Linked DNA regions of Pelodiscus sinensis. The protein of the gene in region 1 interacts with the protein of each later gene in a biochemical or structural test. Links are inferred from orthologs where the notes say so. Each region holds a gene or a part of one and is shown on either strand. Other genes may lie near its edges.

What was found.
Region 2: the proteins of RUFY1 (region 1) and RAB14 form a complex in vitro, tested with the Homo sapiens proteins (2 studies listed by BioGRID). The link is inferred for Pelodiscus sinensis from reciprocal best matches to the Homo sapiens genes RUFY1 and RAB14.

What each region holds. Positions count from the first base shown.
Region 1 is NC_134727.1:34,045,902-34,049,817, reverse strand, and holds the start of RUFY1 (RUN and FYVE domain-containing protein 1), read right to left. Parts: upstream 2,527-3,916; 5' UTR 2,499-2,526; coding exon 2,228-2,498; intron 424-2,227; exon of another isoform or gene 375-423; intron 1-374. UniProt on the Homo sapiens protein: Activating adapter involved in cargo sorting from early/recycling endosomes. Regulates retrieval of proteins from endosomes to the trans-Golgi network through interaction with the dynein-dynactin complex.
Region 2 is NC_134732.1:21,462,005-21,465,920, forward strand, and holds the start of RAB14 (ras-related protein Rab-14), read left to right. Parts: upstream 1-977; 5' UTR 978-1,117; intron 1,118-3,916.

The DNA.
Region 1 (3,916 bases):
GCAGCAGCGCAGGGCAGCAGGCAGCCGGCCTGTGCAGTGAGGGGCTGGTTTTTAAACTGTCTTCCCTTGTGGACTGGCTCCTGCCTGCCATCTTCTGCTGATATAGAAGCAGCAGCATGGGGTGACAGAGGGCTCACTGGCTGCTGGCCCTGCCCTTGGGGACAATTGAATAGTTGTGTAATCACTAAGATTTCATGCAGTTACACGATTATTCAATTACGCAATACATTCCTATTTTTCCGTTTACTGTGCAATTGAGAGCACTATCAGTATTCATGTTCACTGTACCCCACCCTCTAGTTGGTTCTCTCTGTGTACACTAAAACGGAAGGGAAGTTACATAAAAAAGCTAAATATGAATGTTTGTCTTTTAGGTAGGACTTGAACTGTGTTAGATCAGCCTGCCAGGGGACAGAGCTTTCAGTAAGTACAATAGACTATGACACTTCAGGGTCACCTCAGAATCTGATACCTCAATATAGAAATCCTAGATAGAGAGGTGAGCCCTCTTAGAGAATGTAGATAGAGACTTCATGTCCTGCCTTTATCCCCTATGCCTGGGACTATTTTGTCTCTTTTAAATTAATGTTGCATTTAATCTGCAATGTTGGAAGATTTCCAGTTCTTCTGATTTTGTCTGGTAATTTTTGGAAGATTGACAAGAAACACTAGCTAATAGATGCAGCAGTAAACACTACAGAGAAAGTGACATCCTGACCCTACTGAAATCACTGGCAAAACTCCCTTAGACTTCAGTGGAGCAAAGATTATACAGGCAGTCCCCGAGTTACGCGGATCCGACTTATGTCGGATCCGCAGTTACGAACAGGGATTTTCTCGCTCCGGAGGACTGGAGCGGCGGGACGCCTGGTCCCGCCGCCTGCCTCCTCCGGGGCGAGAAAAGCTGCTCCCCGTCTCCCTGGTCTGCTGGGGGAACCAGCAGACCAGGGAGACGGGGAGCAAAGCGGCGGAGGACCCGGGCCGGACCCACGGCGCTGATCTGGAAGCGCCGCGGGTCCGGCCCGGGTCCTCCGCCACTTTGCTCAGCGTCTCCCTGGTCTGTAGACCAGAGAGACGCTGAGCAAAGCCACGGAGGACCTGGGCCGGACCGCGGCGCTGATCTGGAAGCGCCGCGGTCCGGCCCGGGTCCTCCGCCGCTTTGCTCCGCGTCTCCCTGGTCTGCTGGAGGGGGGGGGGACGCAGCTAGTGCCCCTCCCCAGCAGACCAGGGAGACGTGGAGCAAAGCCCGGGGCCTGTGGTAGAGCAGGTGGGGCGCTGCCGGTTGATCCCGCAGCACCGCTCCTTGGCGCTACTGGACCAACCCGGCAGCATCCCAGCTGCTCTGCCCCAGGCGTCCCCAAGTCAGCCGCTGCTGAAACTGACCAGCGGCTGACTACAGGAAGCCCGAGGCAGAGTTGCTCTGCCCCGGGCTTCCTGGAATCAGCTGCTGATCAGTTTCAGCAGCAGCTGACTTGAGGACGCCTGGGGTTCTTAAGTTGAATCTGTATGTAAGTCGGAACTGGTGTCCAGATTCAGCTGCTCTTGAAACTGATCAGTTTCAGCAGCGGCTGAATCTGGATGCCAGTTCCGACTTACATACAGATTCAACTTAAGAACAAACCTACAGTCCCTATCTTGTATGTAACCTGGGGACTGCCTGTACTTATTAAGCAGATTTAAGTTCTGCAAGGACATCCATAAATGTTTGCTAATAAACTATTCAGTTTTTATTAATATTTTTCTAAAATATACATAATTTTAATATATTATTATTAGATTTTTACATCTCTTATTTTATAATTGCTTCATGATGTTTCAATACTGTGTGAATGAGGGAGACAGATTAATGTGATTCGAAAGCAATATATATAGTTTCCTTGTTCTAGTCAGCCCAGCTGTAAGTAAAGAAAGAGACCATACTAGACACTGTTGCGGTCATGCTACATGTAAGCTGAACTTTTCTGGGTAAGTTAGAAAGAAAAATGTATAAAATAAAAAGCCATCCTCCCAAAAATATCAAAAGGTTATGTTTTCCCTGAGCATGTAAAAGTTCGCTGAGATTTGTTCTCTGGGTTCAAAAGTACTTTGCATAAATCATTACAGTATCCACAGGGGATAGGTTTTTTTAAATAAATGCAAAGTAATAATGCATCTCTGACACTTGCAGATTATAACTAACTTATTTGTACACAGTACAAGGAAGTTTACTGAATAAACATAATCATACTTGTTTTTGTTGTGTTGTCATTGCTGACTGGTTTGGGTACGAGTCCTATCAAAGCTGCAGACTTCAGAGCGTTGCCATAGCTCACTGCTAAGTTTTCTGAAGCTTTCTTGGCCAGTGAAAAGATGGGAGCAGACCATCCCGATTCTTCAACAGCTTTTTCTTTCACCTCGTTTTTCAACTCAGTTACATTAGGAATCAGGTTTCTGTCAATTATTTCAAAATCTTCTTTCTGTTTCACAGCAGATGCATTGCAACTCTCTCCTTCAGCCATCTTTAAAATGTCATATGACACTAGTCATGAGCAATCGAGTTAAGCAGAAACTCCCTGCTCTGTAGGTGATAGGAGTTGTTTCATGACAAAAGTGCTGTGCGTGGTTACACAACAACCAGTCGCATGAGCAAAAGTGTCAGATACTAAACATCCTGATTGTGATATGCTCCAAATTATAGCCACAGCTAGTATATTTTCTGGTTACTGATTATCACAACAAATGATACTCTGTTAGATATTGTATAGTGAATGTCCTTTTATATTATTACAATTCTTATTTGTAGCTTTCTGAAAAACCCAATGCAGCCTCTGTACTTCTACACAATATTTTAAGTTAGCATTTTCCCAGAGTATATGAAGTCACAGATTTTGCAGCATTTAAAAAACACATTGAGTCTTTTGAGACTGGATTGTCTTTTCTAAAACGGGACCATCATAACCTAGAAAAGAGTATTGAAAGAAATTACTATATATTATGAAGAGTTTGTTTGTGGATTTGTTTGTGCAAAATAAAGTCATATCCCGATTACCTACAGATACCAAAATTTACATAAACAATCCTGCCACTGAAATGATCTGAATGCACTACTTTTTACACTGGAATATGATGGGTGAAAGGTTTAAATCAGTGTTATTCAAATGGCAAACCGCACCAATGGGGGTACGTCTGCACTGCAACACTATTTTGAAATAAATGGTGCTATTCTGAAATATCTTAGTCCGCGTCTACTCAGCAGGCAGTTATTTCAATAGTGTCAAAATACTGTCAAGCTTGAGGACTTTTTACTCTGACTCCTGTAACCCTCATTGTATGAGGAATAAGGGAAGTCATTAGAAAAGTACTCAAGTTAAGCCTTGCAGTGTAGACATACTCTGGGAGCCGTGAGGCTCTGTAGCTGTGGAGCTAATAAATACACAAACTGGAGCAGCCTGGTATCAGCTTTCTCAGAGTGGGTTCACAGACCACTTTGAGAAACACTGGTTTAAATAGTAATTTTTGGTTTTCATTGGAAAAAAGTCATGACTATTATTATTAGAGTCTATAAAAAATATTTGCTAACAAAATTAAAATCGAGTCGCCTATTCAACTGTCATTTTAGTGCAAAGAAAATTTTTATTGTTACAAATCACAACATAATTCAGATTAGTTATGGAAAGAGTAATGGAAGCTGTATAAGTTTCTGATTCAAATTTACTATGTGTAGTGATTATTCAAGAAAATGAATAATGTTTGAAGTTGAAATCCTACAAATTCAAAACTATTATGTTACTTCCCTTTTGTAAGTACATTAATAAAAAAATCTATTACATATATTTAATTTCTTGAACTTCCTGTAAGTGTAATCTACGCAAAAACGCACCTGGTCAATGTTGGGCCTCACCTTAAGTTTCTTATATATTTTTGAAAGTGAAGTATG
Region 2 (3,916 bases), on another chromosome or scaffold:
GCACCAACGGTGCACTGAATTCTATATACAGGGCCAACCCGTCACACTTGCACAAAATGGTGCCAAGGCAACGGGAATCCACGGAGGGCCACTGAGGTCACACTCGGAAGATAATCAGGGTGCCCCGTTATTAAACGCGCACCGATCCGTAAATAGAAGCGAGTAAGCCAAATCTTGGCCCGCCACTTCCGAAAGGTTGGCGCCCCGGATCTAGCCGGTACTCGGTCCTGTGGCGAGGCCAGGGGACCGGACTCGTCCTCTCGAGGTCCCATCCCAGTGCGCTAGGATCCTGGGCTGTGCTGGTCTCTTCCTCCTGCCCCTCCTGGGCATTTGTCAGGGTGGTTCTCTCGCCCAACAGGGCGAGGCTGGCAGGGGGCGGCGGAGGCCAGGGCCCCTCCCCACGCTGACAGGGCGTGGAGGCTGCGCCCAGCCCGTGCCCTCGGCCGTTTCTGGGGAACCTCAGGCGCCCCCCGCCTGTCGGCGGCAGGGCAGCGCGGGAACGGAGGATGCCGCAGTGTGCGGCACTGCAGCGCTGCCTGAGGCAACGCTGGGAAGGGGGAGGGGCGAGCAGGCGCGTCGGGGGCGCTCTCCGCTGAGGCGGGGCAGCGAACGTTGGCGGGGGGGAGGGGAGGAGCAGGCGCTCACTGCCCAAGGGCCGCCGGAGACGTTTTCCCGCCAGCCCACTCGGCGCGCGCGCCCCCGGCGAGCCAGCGCGCGCGAGGCGCAAGACGTCCCTGGGGGCGGGGGAGGCAGCGCGTGACCCGGCGCGCGCGCGCGCGCGCGCTTGCGGACAACCTGGGGCACCGCCCACACCCCGCGTTCGGGCGGCCGCCGCTAGGGCACGCTGGCGCTGTGATTGGCCCGCGCGGCGGCTCCTGCCCCCCCGCTTTGTGCGGCCGGGGCCCGTTGAGAGTGGGAGGGGAAACCCCGCGCACGGGGCGCCGCCATCTTGGATAAGGGGAGGGGGATGGGGCCGCAGTAGAGCCGTCAGAGCCGAGCCTGTGGGAGCCCCGGCGAGAGGCAGAGACCCAGCCCAGCCGCCGCCGCAGAGCCGCACAGCGCCCCGGGCTGCCACCGACACAGCCAAGCTGCACAGCCACCAGCTCCCCGAGCCCAGGTGAGGAGGAAGCGGCGGCGCCGCCTCCACAGCGCCGGGCCCACAGAGCCTCCCCCGCCCCGGCCGGGCATCCTCGGGGCGCCCGCGGCATCCCTCCCCGGGGGGCCAGTCGGGCCCGCAGCGGGGCCTAGCCCGGCACCCAGGCCGCGCCGGCTCCCGCTCCCCGGCCGGGCCCTGGCTGCGAGGCCCGAGCTGGAGGCAGCCGGCAGCCCCGCCCGTGAGACCCAAGCGGAGGGAAACGAGCCGGAGCCCTCGGGGCTGGGCCTGCCGGGTAGGACAGGGCCGGAGCGAGGCCTCCGCCGCGCTGCTGCTGGGGCCTCCGCCTCCTCTGCGCGGCTGCCCCCTCGCTCTGCCCTGCTGGAGGCGCGCCGTGTGCCCCGGCATTGCTCGTGTGGCGGGGTCCGCACGGGACGGGGGGCGTGCTCGCCAAGTTCACTGCTGTCTCTGGTTTCCATCCTTCCAATGCCGGTGGCGTGACACTAGTCCCAAGTATCGATAGCGCTTGAGGAAGGGTCACCTGCCCTCTAAATAGCGACCGAGATGTAGCCGTGTTAGTCTGGGGTAGCTGAAGCAAAATGCAGGACAATGTAGCACTTTAAAGACTAACAAGATGGTTTATTAGGTGATGAGCTTGCGTGGGCCAGACCCACTTCCTCAGATCAAATAGTGGAAGAAAATAGTCACAACCATCTATACCAAAGGATACAATCTTAAAAAAAAAAAGTGAACACATATGAAAAGGACAAATCACATTTCAGAACAAATCTTTGTCTGAGAGGCCTCCCCTCCCCCCAGCAATGCTCTTGTACATTACATTGTGTCTAGAGGTGGTAGAAGAAAATGGATTTAAAAAAAACCCTGGTTATGGTTTTGTGTCTCTGGTCTGTTTGACCATTACACTTCTGAATTGCCTTTTAGTGGTGGTATTGTGGAGGGCTTATTTTGGAAGCAACTTTGTGAAAACCATTTCACTGGTTTCATCAGTGCTCCAAGCATGGGAAGTTGTTAATCAGGTTCTGTCTACAGTGTTATTGCTTTCGAGTTCCTACTGTTATGGCCTTTTTTTTTTCTTCTCTTGCTGCTCAGTTTCTTTATTAGTCTTAAATTCAGTGGCTACAGGAAGGGTGAATGGTCCATAAGTATAAGTACAAGATCTTATGTTGGATTTTGAACTGATTTTCCCCAGTAAGAAAATGGCATTTGTCTAGGCTCAAAGTTTTGGGATTACCTGTTAAATTTTGTTTGTTGGGTTTTGAACTAGAAACTGTTTCTCTATTGGATGTAACTTTGTGTATTTTGTGTATTATGTTAACTGAAATATTTTGAATAAAAACTTCTAGAGACTCTAGCCCAAAAAAGTAAACACTTGAATTATAGACCCAACCAGCACTAAACTGTTAGGCAATTTTACAAACATAAGTCAGAGTCTCTGTCCCAGGGGAGTTGTTATATAAAGGTATAACTGCATATGAGTTATAGGTAAGCTACTGATTCCTGTGAAGGATTGGGAAACCACTTAAATCAGAGCTATGGTAAAACACTCCACTCTCAGGGTTTTTTTATTTATTATTGAGAGCCTTGAAATTAGGGACATATGGTTAGTTTGCCATGAATGAAGCAGTCATTAAAGGAAAACATGGAGTATTTAATATGTTAAAATTGGAGGTTTTGAAATATGTTTATAACCCTAGCTATCCTTAAGTTTATTTCCATGCTTCAATGTATCCAGTGGGCCCTTAAGACTTCTGGTAGTTCAGGAAGGTGTGAGGAGAGAAATATGCACTTTCCCTACTGATCAAGAATGTGTTGTATCCAGCTGATGACTTACACAGCCCAGTAATTTATTGCTAGAGAACTGTAGCTAACTTTCTTTCAGTCTAGTTATTACCAAAACTTTGTAGTGTGTAATTTGCCAATTCATATTTAGCTTTCAATAGATAGATATCTATGGTAGAATGTGGCTCTGCTGCTAAAGAAACAGTGAAGTCAATGTCTCATATCCAGTTGATTGAAGTAGAAGAAACTTGTATATTTCAGAAAGCTACAATTTAGCAGCCTCCTTGAAGTGGTGGTATTGGGGAGTTCTGAATAAAATAATACGGTTAAACTCTTTTCCTTGAACAAAAAAATAACCAACAACAAAAAACTGAAGATAAAATTCAGGTTAGAAACCAACATTGAGAGGTTAAGTGACTTGTCTCATACCTTGGACATTCTCTGGTTTTGATTGAGTAGTCATACCTATTATAAGTGCAAGGTGAAGTTTCATTACTATTGAGACTTCTGTACAGACTTTCAATATACCTCAAATTTGCTTGGTTGTGGTGTCCAACTTTGTTTAAGGGGTTGTGGGGTTTCTTAATTGTCACTTTGTATCAAATATGTTCCATTTAAGTGTTGTTCACTTTTCCTCACTGCTACCTGTAGTCTCAGCCTGGGTTCTTGCTACATTATGCATCATATATGCATATTAAGGTCCTATGAGCCGACTTTGTCTTCAGTGACATCTGTAAGTGTACCTCAGAGCCATTGCATTGGTTGCAAATGTATAACTTGTAGCAAGAAGGATGAACACTAGTTGCTATGGCTCTGCAGTGCTAACAGGGTAAAAACTATTGAATTATTTGACAATAAACAGATGATTAAAATCAGGAAAAAAGCTGTTTCAAAAGTGCTGTCTTATTGTTACAGAAGAATCACACTCTAATTCTTTAATGTTGACTTTGAAACTGCATATGCTTGTATGCTAGCATAAAATCTTTTGTGGATTGAAGTTACCAAAAAGCAGTTTATAGTCAT